Mus musculus: one gene and its partners. The protein of the gene in region 3 interacts with the protein of the main gene of each other region in a pairwise test. Links are inferred from orthologs where the notes say so. Each region holds a gene or a part of one and is shown on either strand. Other genes may lie near its edges.

What was found.
Region 1: the proteins of Cdc5l (region 3) and Bicral interact in a two-hybrid assay, tested with the Homo sapiens proteins (2 studies listed by BioGRID and IntAct). The link is inferred for Mus musculus from reciprocal best matches to the Homo sapiens genes CDC5L and BICRAL.
Region 2: the proteins of Cdc5l (region 3) and Kif3c interact in a two-hybrid assay, tested with the Homo sapiens proteins (2 studies listed by BioGRID and IntAct). The link is inferred for Mus musculus from reciprocal best matches to the Homo sapiens genes CDC5L and KIF3C.

The regions. Positions count from the first base shown.
Region 1 is NC_000083.6:46,800,398-46,804,045, forward strand, and holds part of Bicral (BRD4-interacting chromatin-remodeling complex-associated protein-like), read right to left. Parts: intron 1,433-3,648; coding exon 651-1,432; 3' UTR 1-650. UniProt on the Homo sapiens protein: Component of SWI/SNF chromatin remodeling subcomplex GBAF that carries out key enzymatic activities, changing chromatin structure by altering DNA-histone contacts within a nucleosome in an ATP-dependent manner.
Region 2 is NC_000078.6:3,364,021-3,367,768, forward strand, and holds the start of Kif3c (kinesin-like protein KIF3C), read left to right. Parts: upstream 1-1,111; 5' UTR 1,112-1,960; coding exon 1,961-3,511; intron 3,512-3,748.
Region 3 is NC_000083.6:45,402,665-45,406,312, reverse strand, and holds part of Cdc5l (cell division cycle 5-like protein), read left to right. Parts: intron 1-1,521; coding exon 1,522-1,719; intron 1,720-3,648.

The DNA of each region.
Region 1 (3,648 bases), about 1.4 Mb from region 3:
CACGAATGTGTTGAAGACAAACACAAGGCTTTGCTTTTGCAGCATCGCACAGCACTGGATGTCAGGAGGATGCTCTGTGGCTGTGCTCCTGGCGTCTTAGCCAGGGCGGTGGGCTTCCAGGCAGAGCACCGGCTACCCACCACTCAGCGGGCTGGTCAGGGAGAGTCTTCCCTACGCAGATACCCTCTCCCCCTGGAACAGAACAAAACCAAACCACTACTTTGGAGCTGCAGTGAGAAAGTCTTTAAATCAGTCCTGTTTGATTTTTCTTTAATAAGTCTGTTCTTTTGAAATGACTTATGATTGTCAAAATTTTACCCAGGGCCAAGTGTACTGTGGTCTTGAGCGACAGTGCTAAGAAACAAACCACAAAACAAATTAACGAACAACAATGGCCGTAAGCACTTTCGTAACACTTGAAATGTGGAGGGCCTATCGGACTGCTTTCTAGAGAGAGGTGGGTGTACTGAGGGGTCTCCCCGCAGCCATGACGACATGTATTGCTCTTCAAAAGAACAGGGTGAGATTAGAAAGGATAACCTGTGATGGAGGACCAAGCAGGCTGGAGACAGACGGGAGCCGTTTCCATTTGCTTTGCTGGGAGAGAGTGTAACTGGTCCGGGGCAGGGTCTGGAGGAGGACGGCTGCTATTAACACTCTAGAATACTATTTACAGCTGCTTCTAAAATGGAGTCCGTTTCTACAACGCCTTCACTGTGGTCCGGGATGAATTTTTCTAGGCAGTTTTCCTGCGAAGCCATTGGAGAAAAGCTGGGGAAGTCCAGGTCCGCCGCACCGCTGGCCGTAGGGTCGCTTGGCGGCCGCCCCGAGTTCTTGAGTTCCAGGATGTTCTTAAAGGTTTTCTCTAGGCTCTTGGTGAGCTGGAGATCTGGCTGGGGCTCACCCGACCCTTTCATGATGTCTGTGTGTAAAACCTCATTCTTTGGGGAATTCCTCAGCGCTTTGTCCTGGAAGGAGTCGAGACAGGGCATCTCCATGTGCGAGCTGGCCAGGACGCCGGGGAGCTTGCTCTCAGAGCCGTGATCTGGCCTGGGCAAGCTTTTGCGGTGGCCCTCGGGGCCCGGAGAGCACCTGCTGACCTTGGCAGGGTCCCTCCGGCCGCCCTTGTCCTCAGGCGGACCCCGGTATTGGCCTAAGACCCCTCTGTCAAATTTCAGTGTTCTACTGTGGCCTTCTGACTTTTTAGAAATGTTTCCCTCTGCAGAGACCACGATGTGGTTAGGCACTAGATGAAACTGGTCATGATTCGTTGCTTCTGCCATGCCTGGCTTGGCTCGGTCTCTGCTTTGGGCCCTGGGCACCTGATGGAGCGAGCTGGTTTTGCTGCGATGCTGGTCACTCCTGTCAAGCGGGGTCTCAGGTACAGCTTCGTCAAGTTTGAAGGAACAACAGAAATCGGCCTGAAAACCCTCTGGAAAGGAGATCAGAAAGAACTTTAGCGGTCAGAGAACTAGCACAGGGCAAAGCCTCTCGATTGGGCAGGCACAAAGGCAACCCTGCAGTCCTGGCTAGCCCCACCCCTTGCCCTCTTCTGCTTATCTTCCCGCCCACTCCACTCATGACCCTTCCCTCAGAAACTCTCAGAGACAACTTAAGAGAGGAGAATCTTCTTCAAGTAGCCCAGCTTCCTGGGCCAGCTTCCACACAGGAAGCTGTATGCAGAGGAGGTACCTTACCAAGTGAGTTACAAGCCTACTCCCCAGTGTTTCTTTTGGGAACTAACTGCTCTGAAAATAAAAGTTCCAGCTTCAACCTGCTTCCTTCCTGAGAGCAGTGGACTTTGTGGCAAAGGGGACAACCTGTCTCTGAGTGATAGAGTTAATAGACAGGTGTGAGGACCCCACCACTTCTCCCAGAACATAAAGCAAATGGCAAAAAGGCACACACGTTAGCTGCCTGGAAGGACAGAAGGGCTTGGAGGAGCTATGTCTGAGTGAAGAGTTGGGCTTTGCCAGGTTCCAGAAGCATTTGTGAGGAGCTGAGGTAGAGACCACAGTGGCTTCCCTGAAGGGAGAAAGGAAGAGGCGGCTTCATCTAGAAAACTAGACAGGATGCACAGAGCACCCATCACACCTCCGATCCTGAGCTACAGGGATGGAGGCTAAGATGGAAAAAGAGGGTGCCATCTAGTTGACACCGGTATTCAGGCTCTCATCACGCAAGACATGACAAACTGACAGAGTCATCACAAACTATTTTACCAAAGACAGAGATTTCAGTTCCTCAGAAAAGGGCTAGAAACAGATCCTCTAACACTGGCCTTCTGTGGCTCCTGGTCCATACCCAGCGTTCCTTCCAGACTTCTCCATTCCTCTCAGTCCACACAGTGTATTTATGAATGCCTTAGCCAAGGCAGGCCTAACCTTAATGTTAAACTGTCAGAAAAGAACAGCTAGGCCTGGGGGCTCCTGCCTGTAACCCCCGCCCTGACTCGGGTAATTACCCTGAGTTCAATATCATGAATTCTGGCATGGCCTGGGCTTCAGAGTGAAGCTTTATTTTAACAACCAAAATGACATCACAGCCGGGCGTGGTGGCACACGCCTTTAATCCCAGCACTCAGGAGGCAGAGGCAGGCGGATTTCTGAGTTCCAGGCCAGCCTGATCTACAAAGTGAGTTCCAGGACAGCCAGGGCTATACAGAGAAACCCTGTCTCGAAAAAACAAAAACAAAAAACAAAAACAAACAAACAAACAAAAAAAAACAAAAAAACCAAAATGACATCACAACTGGGGACAAAGAGACCCTGAAGCGGTCAGGAGCACTGGCTGCTCTTGCAGAGGATGTGGTGCGAGCCCCAGCATTCATGAAGCGGCTCATGACCACCTGTAACTCCAGTTCAAGGAGATCTGTGGCGCAGGCCTTTAATCCCAGCACTCAGGAGGCAGAGGCAGGTGGATTTCTGAGTTCAAGGCCAGCCTGGTCAACAGAGTGAGTTCCAGGACAGCCAGGGCTACAGAGAGATCCCTGTCTTGAAAAACAAACAAACAAACAACAACCCCCCCCCCCCCAAAGGAGATCTGACGCCCTCTTCTGGGCTCTTTGAGCATCAGGCATGTATATGTAGGCAAAACAACCATATACATAAAAGTTTAAAAATATTAAAAAAAGACAAAGTAGAGGCAGGCGGATTTCTGAATTCGAGGCCAGCCTGGTCTACAAAGTGAGCTCCAGGACAGCCAGAGCTATACAGAGAAACCCTGTCTCGAAAAAACAAAAACAAAAAAACAAAACAAAAAGACAAAGTAGGTGATGGTAGCACATGCCTTTAATCCCCACTTGGGAGGCAGAGGCAGGTGGATCTCTGAATTAGATGCCAGCCTGGTCTAAAAGAGTAAGTTTTAGGACAGCCAGGACTATATAGAGAAACCCTGTCTCAAAAAACAAACAAAAAACCTAAAAACAAACAAATAGAACAAAAAAGAAGACTAGGTGTTGGAGAAAGGAGACTACAGCAAAGGAAGGCAGCAGTGAGGCCACAGGGGACGAGCCCGCTGCGGTATGGAGCGAATGCACTCAGACACTACTGGGATCACAGCAAGATACAAACTCCAGGGGCTGGAGAGGTGGTTCAAAGGCCACGAGTGCTTGCTGCTCTACCAAAGGACCTGAGTTCACAGCAGCTG
Region 2 (3,748 bases), on a different chromosome or scaffold from region 3:
GAAGAGCAGTCAGTGCTCTTAACCACTGAGCCATCTCTCCAGCCCTAGAGTTTCTGATTTAATTTGCTTCTCTGTTGCTGTAATAAAACACTGCCCGCCAAGAGTAACTGGGGGAGGAGAGGGTTTATTTGCGCTGCAGGGTTCCGGCATCAGGACCTCAAGGCAGGAGCTTGAAGTAGCAATCATGGAGAGACATTATTTACTGGCTGGCTTCCAGACTTGCATTCTGCTATCTTTCTTATACAACCCATTACTACCTGCCCAGGGGATCACCTCCCACAGTGGGTTGGGCTCTCGCCTCCATCAATTAGCTATCAAGAATATACCCCACAGACCAATCAGATGCAGGCAATTCCTCAGTCGAGATTTCCTTTTCCCAGACATCTCTAGATTGTGTTGACAAAAATTAACCAGCACAGCTTCACAGATGATGAAATGCTTGTGCTGCCCAAGTGGCAGAGCAGTAGAGGAAGGACTGTAACAGGATCTCTGGGCAAAGGCACAAGGGTGCAACTGTCATTTCTATTACAGCCTGTTGTCTCCTTAAGAAGGGTTCGGCGCCTAGAATAGTGCCAGGGCTCCACGTGAGCTAGAAAAGTGTGTCAGCATGGTTTTTAGGAGTATAGACTGGATCAGAGTAGTGGAGGTAGGCTGAGAGGTCAGAAGATGGACAGGCCTTCCTAAGGTCATGGAGAAGTAGTTGGAGCCAGAGGCCATGTACAGACACAAGAGGTGGAATCAGTTAACTGTGCTTCCCGCAGAGCGTTAAAAGGAAGGCCAGGAGTAAACCAGACTAGGGAGAGAAAACACAGAGCCCAATAATGTTTAGGAGTTTAAGCTCTAGGAGGCCTGGTGACACCCTGAGAAATGGAGGACAGTGACATGTGCCCATCTGCAAGCAAAATGGTTGGAGCAGTGAGAAACCGAGAATGGCGGTTGCCGAGAGAACACGCGTGGGTAGTGCAGCCTCAGCAGACACACTCAGGGGTTGCATGTGGGAGGAGGGGCTCCCAGACTTGAGGACTGGAGAAAGCATTAGCAACCTGACAGAACCGGGTTAACAAAGGAAGGACTACATCTCCCAGCATGCTCGGGTTCGGTGGGGTGACGGCTGGCGGTGGCTGCGCCGCATCCGACTGGTGGGCGCGGGACCTGGGTGGGCACCGGAGCCTGTCATCCCTGAGGGGTCCGTGGGGTGCGGGCGGCGATGCACCGCTGTCCCTCGCCCAAGGGCCGCGCCGGGCTCTTGTTCCCCGCCCCGCGGCCCCGCCCCTTGCCCCACCCCAGACGGGAGACCTAACCCGGGCCGCAGCGCAGCGGCCGCAGCAACATCACTCTCACCGCCGCTGTTCCGCCCCATCCTTTTCTGTTTTTCTCTCATTCTCCGGTGGCGGCGGCGGGGAAGGCGAAGGAGAGGCAACAGCAGCCAGCCTTGGCTGCAATGAATGATCCTCCACCCGGAGGGGAGGACTCCAGGTGAGCCTCTGACCTCGGGAGGATCGGGACCCTCCGAGCCGCCCAGGACTCGCATCCCCCGCCATGGATCCCTAGGGGAAGGGAAAAAGGAGGAGGAAAAGACAGCTCTGCCGCCCACCCCCATCTCATTTTCCTCTTCCTTTATCTCATTGTTGCCGAAGCTGTAGCCGTAGCGCTCACTCTTGCTCCAGCATGGGGTGGATTCCAGGCACTACCCTTCGGCAGGAGCAGCTTGCGCGGTAACCTAGGGATTCTGCCTAATTCTACCTCTCCAGACTGTGCACAGAAAGCCGCGGAGAGCTGTGGAGGCCTGGACTGCAGCAGTCTCGGGGCCAACTCCCTGCATCCCCACCCTGGTAGGCTGCATGCGGATTGAAGAGAGGTGCCTGAGGGCTGGGCCAGCCCGACTGATCCCGACCTAGGAGTAGGGCAGAAGGACCGCCCAGGCTGCAGAGCGGCCCACCTGGAAGGACAGAGGTGCAAGATGGCCAGTAAGACCAAGGCCAGCGAGGCCCTGAAGGTGGTGGCCCGGTGCCGCCCCCTCAGTAGGAAGGAGGAGGCTGCTGGTCATGAGCAGATTCTGACCATGGACGTGAAACTGGGCCAGGTGACTCTGCGAAACCCCCGCGCGGCACCCGGGGAGCTGCCCAAGACCTTCACTTTTGATGCTGTGTATGATGCTAGCTCCAAGCAGGCCGACCTGTATGACGAAACGGTGAGGCCCCTGATAGACTCAGTGCTTCAGGGTTTCAACGGCACCGTATTTGCCTATGGCCAGACTGGCACTGGCAAGACCTACACCATGCAGGGGACCTGGGTGGAGCCAGAGCTCCGCGGGGTTATCCCGAATGCCTTTGAGCACATCTTCACCCACATCTCCCGCTCCCAGAACCAGCAGTACCTGGTTCGTGCTTCCTACTTGGAGATCTACCAGGAGGAGATCCGAGACCTGCTATCCAAGGAGCCAGGCAAGAGGCTAGAGCTGAAGGAGAATCCTGAAACAGGGGTCTACATCAAGGACCTCTCTTCCTTTGTCACCAAGAATGTCAAGGAGATTGAGCATGTGATGAACCTGGGGAACCAAGCCCGAGCAGTGGGCAGCACCCACATGAATGAGGTCAGCTCTCGGTCCCATGCCATCTTTGTTATCACAGTGGAGTGCAGTGAGCGTGGCTCTGATGGCCAGGATCATATCCGAGTAGGCAAGCTCAACCTGGTAGACCTGGCCGGCAGTGAGAGACAGAACAAGGCTGGTCCCAACGCAGCTGGAGGGCCAGCCACACAGCCAACAGCTGGTGGTGGGAGTGGAAGTGGCAGCGCTAGTGGTTCTGCCAGCAGCGGAGAGAGGCCTAAGGAAGCTTCTAAAATCAATCTCTCGCTGTCCGCCCTGGGCAATGTGATTGCTGCTCTGGCTGGCAACAGGAGCACCCACATCCCCTACCGGGACTCCAAGCTAACCCGGCTGCTCCAAGACTCACTGGGGGGCAATGCCAAGACCATCATGGTGGCCACACTGGGTCCAGCTTCTCACAGCTACGACGAGAGCCTCTCTACCCTGCGCTTTGCCAACCGAGCCAAGAACATCAAGAACAAACCGCGGGTGAACGAGGACCCCAAGGACACACTGCTGAGGGAATTCCAGGAAGAGATCGCTCGCTTGAAGGCCCAGCTGGAGAAGAAGGGGATGCTGGGCAAGCGACCTCGGAGAAAGAGCAGTCGTAGAAAGAAGGCCGTGTCTGCCCCAGCCGGCTATCCAGAGGGGTCCGTGATTGAGGCCTGGGTGGCCGAAGAGGAAGATGATAACAACAACAATCACCACCCACCCCAGCCCATCTTGGAGGCAGCTTTGGAGAAGAACATGGAGAATTACCTGCAGGACCAGAAGGAACGGCTGGAGGAGGAGAAGGCTGCCATCCAGGATGACCGCAGCCTTGTGAGTGAGGAGAAGCAGAAGCTTCTAGAAGAGAAGGAGAAGATGCTGGAGGATCTACGGCGGGAGCAGCAGGCTACAGAGCTGCTTGCAGCCAAGTACAAGGTAAGGTCCCCAGACAATGCGAGTACTTTGATTGGTAGATTTTCATTTGAGGGTCTGTGAGTTGGCCTGAGTGGGATATCCCACCTCAGGACCACACACTGATGACTGCTCCGGAGCAGCTAAGCAAAGTACCATAATACTAGGTAGCTAGGTGCACTTACATGCGAGCATCCACACCAAGCAAAGTGGGGAGATGTCTTGGACCAGTGGACTCCAGATGCTCCGACCACCTCTGCC
Region 3 (3,648 bases):
AGTTTTTTAAAACTGCATTTTTAAAAAACATTGTATGTATGTTTGAGTGGGATGTGCTGTTGTTAATGTGTAGAGGTAAGAGGACAACTTGGTATGAGTCATTTCCACTTTGTTGGATTAAGGTTTTTGAACTCAGGGTGTCATGTTTCGTGGTCAGTGCCTTTACCTGCTGAGCTGTCTTGTAACCCAGAGCCCATTTTACAGTTGAGAATTGGGCTCAGAGGAGTTAAGTATTGCAGGCAGCCACTTAAACAGGGAAGCAGTGATTGAACCCTAGCCTGCTCAGTTCCTTCTCTCTCATTCTGCCATCTAAAAGTGTTTCTTTAGTAGAGAGCCTTTCACCCTTTCACCTTGTGACATGAGGAGACGGTGGGGTGGAGCACCCCTAAGCCAGCAGTGGTGCCTCTGGCTTAGGAGCCTGCCTCAGTTGATTACTACTGGTATGGTTCTGGACAAGTTGTTTAATTTCAGTAGTTTCACTAGCTTTAAAATGAAGTCAATATTGGCTAGTTTGTAAAGTGGTTATATGTTTTTTTTCTTTTTTAAGAGAAAGTCTTACAGCAGGGCGTGGTGGCACACGCCTTTAATCCCAGCACTCAGGAGGCAGAGGCAGGTGGATTTCTGAGTTCGAGGCCAGCCTGGTCTACAAAGTGAGTTCCAGGACAGCCAGGGCTATACAGAGAAACCCTCTCTCAAAAAAACCAACCAATCAAACAAACAAAAAAAGAGAAAGTCTTACTATGTCACCCTGGTTCTGGAATTTGCTCTGTAGACTAGGCTGGCTTTGGACTCTCATGCTTTATATCTGCCATGGTTAAAGTTTTTGGAGGTAATGAGAGTTGTCCAGTTTCTGACCTTTAGTGACTGGTATGTACTTGAGAGATGTTGCTGTATAATGAATAATAGCGGTGTTGGTGCTCTTGGGAAACCACGAATACTTGACTTTTTAAAATCAGTTTATCTTGGAGCCCTTAGATCTTTCTTTCTCTGTGTATCCTTGTATGTGTGTGTTGTATGTGTATGTGTGTGTTGTATGTGTGTGTTGTATGTGTATGTATGTGTTGTATGTGTATGTGTGTGTTGTATGTGTATATGCCCATGTGCATGCTAGAGGACATAGGTTATATTTATCACCCTCAGCTCTGTGTCCTTGAGACATAGGATATAGTCTGTATTGTTTTTTTTTTCACCGAACCAAAAGCTTGCTGTTGCTGAGTTGGCTGGCTGAACTATAGGCACATGGTCATGTCTGTGGTTTTCTCCCTGCCCCCCCCCCCCCTTTTAAATGGGTTCTGGGGATTCAAACTCAGGTCTTCAAGTTTGCAAAGTAGCTACTCTTACCCATGGAGTCATCTCCCTAGCCCCTACTTAGAGGCTATTTAGCTCAGGTATTGTCCATCCCCTTCTAGAGAACAACCAACCAAACCTTACCATTGGTTTAAGGAAGGAGGAAATAAGCTAGTCTTGAGCTTTATGGTGGTAGAAAGTGTATGCTTCAACTTAAATTATTACTGTAAACAGGCCCAGGATGCTCTGGTACAAGAGATGGAAGTGGTCAAACAAGGAATGAGCCATGGCGAACTCTCCAGTGAAGCTTACAACCAGGTGTGGGAGGAATGCTACAGTCAAGTCCTCTATCTTCCTGCTCAGAGCCGCTACACTCGTGCTAATCTTGCTAGCAAAAAGGACAGAATTGAATCACTTGAAAAGAGACTTGAGGTTGGTATCCATTTGCTTATATGTTTAAAAATCGATTATTATTGTGTGTATGATGTGTATGTAAGTGCTCGAGGAAAGCTTTGTGGAGGCAGTTCTTTCATTTCCTTCTAAGTGGGGTTTGCCTTGAATTCCTGCTGCTAGGCTTGCGCTGCATTCACTTTTACCTGCTATCTTCATTGCCCTTGGTATCCTTTTAAAATTCCAATTCAGTTGAAATTGTGAGCCAGTTAATACGTCTGGTGACTTAAGTACTAGGGCTGGACAGCTGATTGCTTTGTAGTTCTTGAACACTTTGCTGGGTACTCTTCCCTCAATCAGAACCTTTATTTACGTGAGGGAGGGAGAAGGAGTTACTAAAGTCAAGATGGGTCAGTGAGATCACAGCAGTGGGAGTTTTGATCTATAGCTCACAGAGCACCGACATTTACAGAAACTCAGTACATTTTTGTGTATCCTGCAGTTGAGTTAGAGTGGAGTTGCTATGCAGACAGTGGCTCTGTGATTTCCTATGTCTGTGATGCATTGAAGCCTATTAACAGCAGTGGTTTCTTAATAGAATGTTCATGTTCTGAATTCCAGAATCTCTGTAGACATTTTGCAGTGGCATGTAAATAACACAGACTGCCAGGCTGCCTTGTGGGTTCTGGTTGTTGTTGTTGTTTTTGACAGGGTCTTACTGTGTCACTATGCCTATCACTGGAACTTACTGTGTAGATCAGGTTGGTCTCAAGCTCAGACATCTGCCTACCTCTGCCTCTCCAGTGTGAATAAAGATGTGAGCCACCACACACAGCATGCTTTCTAGACTCTTACTCGTGGTCTTTAGGGATGTGTCTGAGGCCAAGATGGAATAGAGAAGGGAAAAGGGATTCTTCAGGACACTGGATGCAGAAAATGACCTAAGCTTCCTCTTTCATGTGATTGTTAGTTTTTCTTTATAGAAAGTAAATTTGAGAGTATTTTTGTTTAGGGTTAAATCTAGATATTAGAATTAATTGTGGTAGTTGGGGCTGTGTGGAACTAGAGAAATGAACAGGAAAAAACAGTGTCTTCTAATATGAATCTTTATGACCACTTATTGTCATACCTTTGTGCTTGTAGAGTTAGGAAATTAGTCTTTGTAATGTAATTCTTGCAGTGCCAGGGCCATGAGTGTTGTAGTTTTATGACTTCCAGCAGGTGGCACTGTTGCTCTGTTTTAATTCATAATGAAAGCTCTCGGAGACAGAACACGAGTGGTTAAATTGTAGGTTATACTTTGTGTCGTGCAGGCTTCTTTTCTTACAAATGACAGTTATAGATCTAAGGCCAACTTTGTAATTGATTGGTAGGCTGTTTGGAATGCTTTCTTGTAACATTTATATATAAATACTTCAATCTCTCACTTTGTTTGAAAAATCTCAGTTTGAGGTGGGTAAACTCTCTCTGCTGCAGATCAAGGACATCTTAATGTTGTTTAAAATGAAGAGGATAATCCCCCTGAATCTCACTTACTCTGCTGAGGCTCTAACTTGAATCTCACTTACTCTGCTGAGGCTCTAACTTTCATGACAGCAAACAAATGTCACAGCGTGAGTGCTGCTGTGAAGTCCAGTGACTCTTCTCTGTTGGATCAGCCCTGAGAATTCTGAAGGGAATAGCACAGCGAGCCTCCGCTGTTCTGTTCTGTTCTGTTGGAGAGGTACTTGGGTTGTTGTGAGCAGTCATTAAAAACATGTGGTTCTCTTTGTTCACTTCATACCAGGACTGAAGTCTTCTGTTGAACTGTTTTTGTTGAGGGATTGCTGATGTTGGAAGAATATTCATAAAACAGTCTAAAGTACTTTTTTTTCTCTTTTTGACTCTTGGGTAACTTGGCTTATTGTTAACCCAGCTAGTTAATTTTAAGGAATATTTAATCAAATCTTTCAATTAGTAAACTCTTATTCC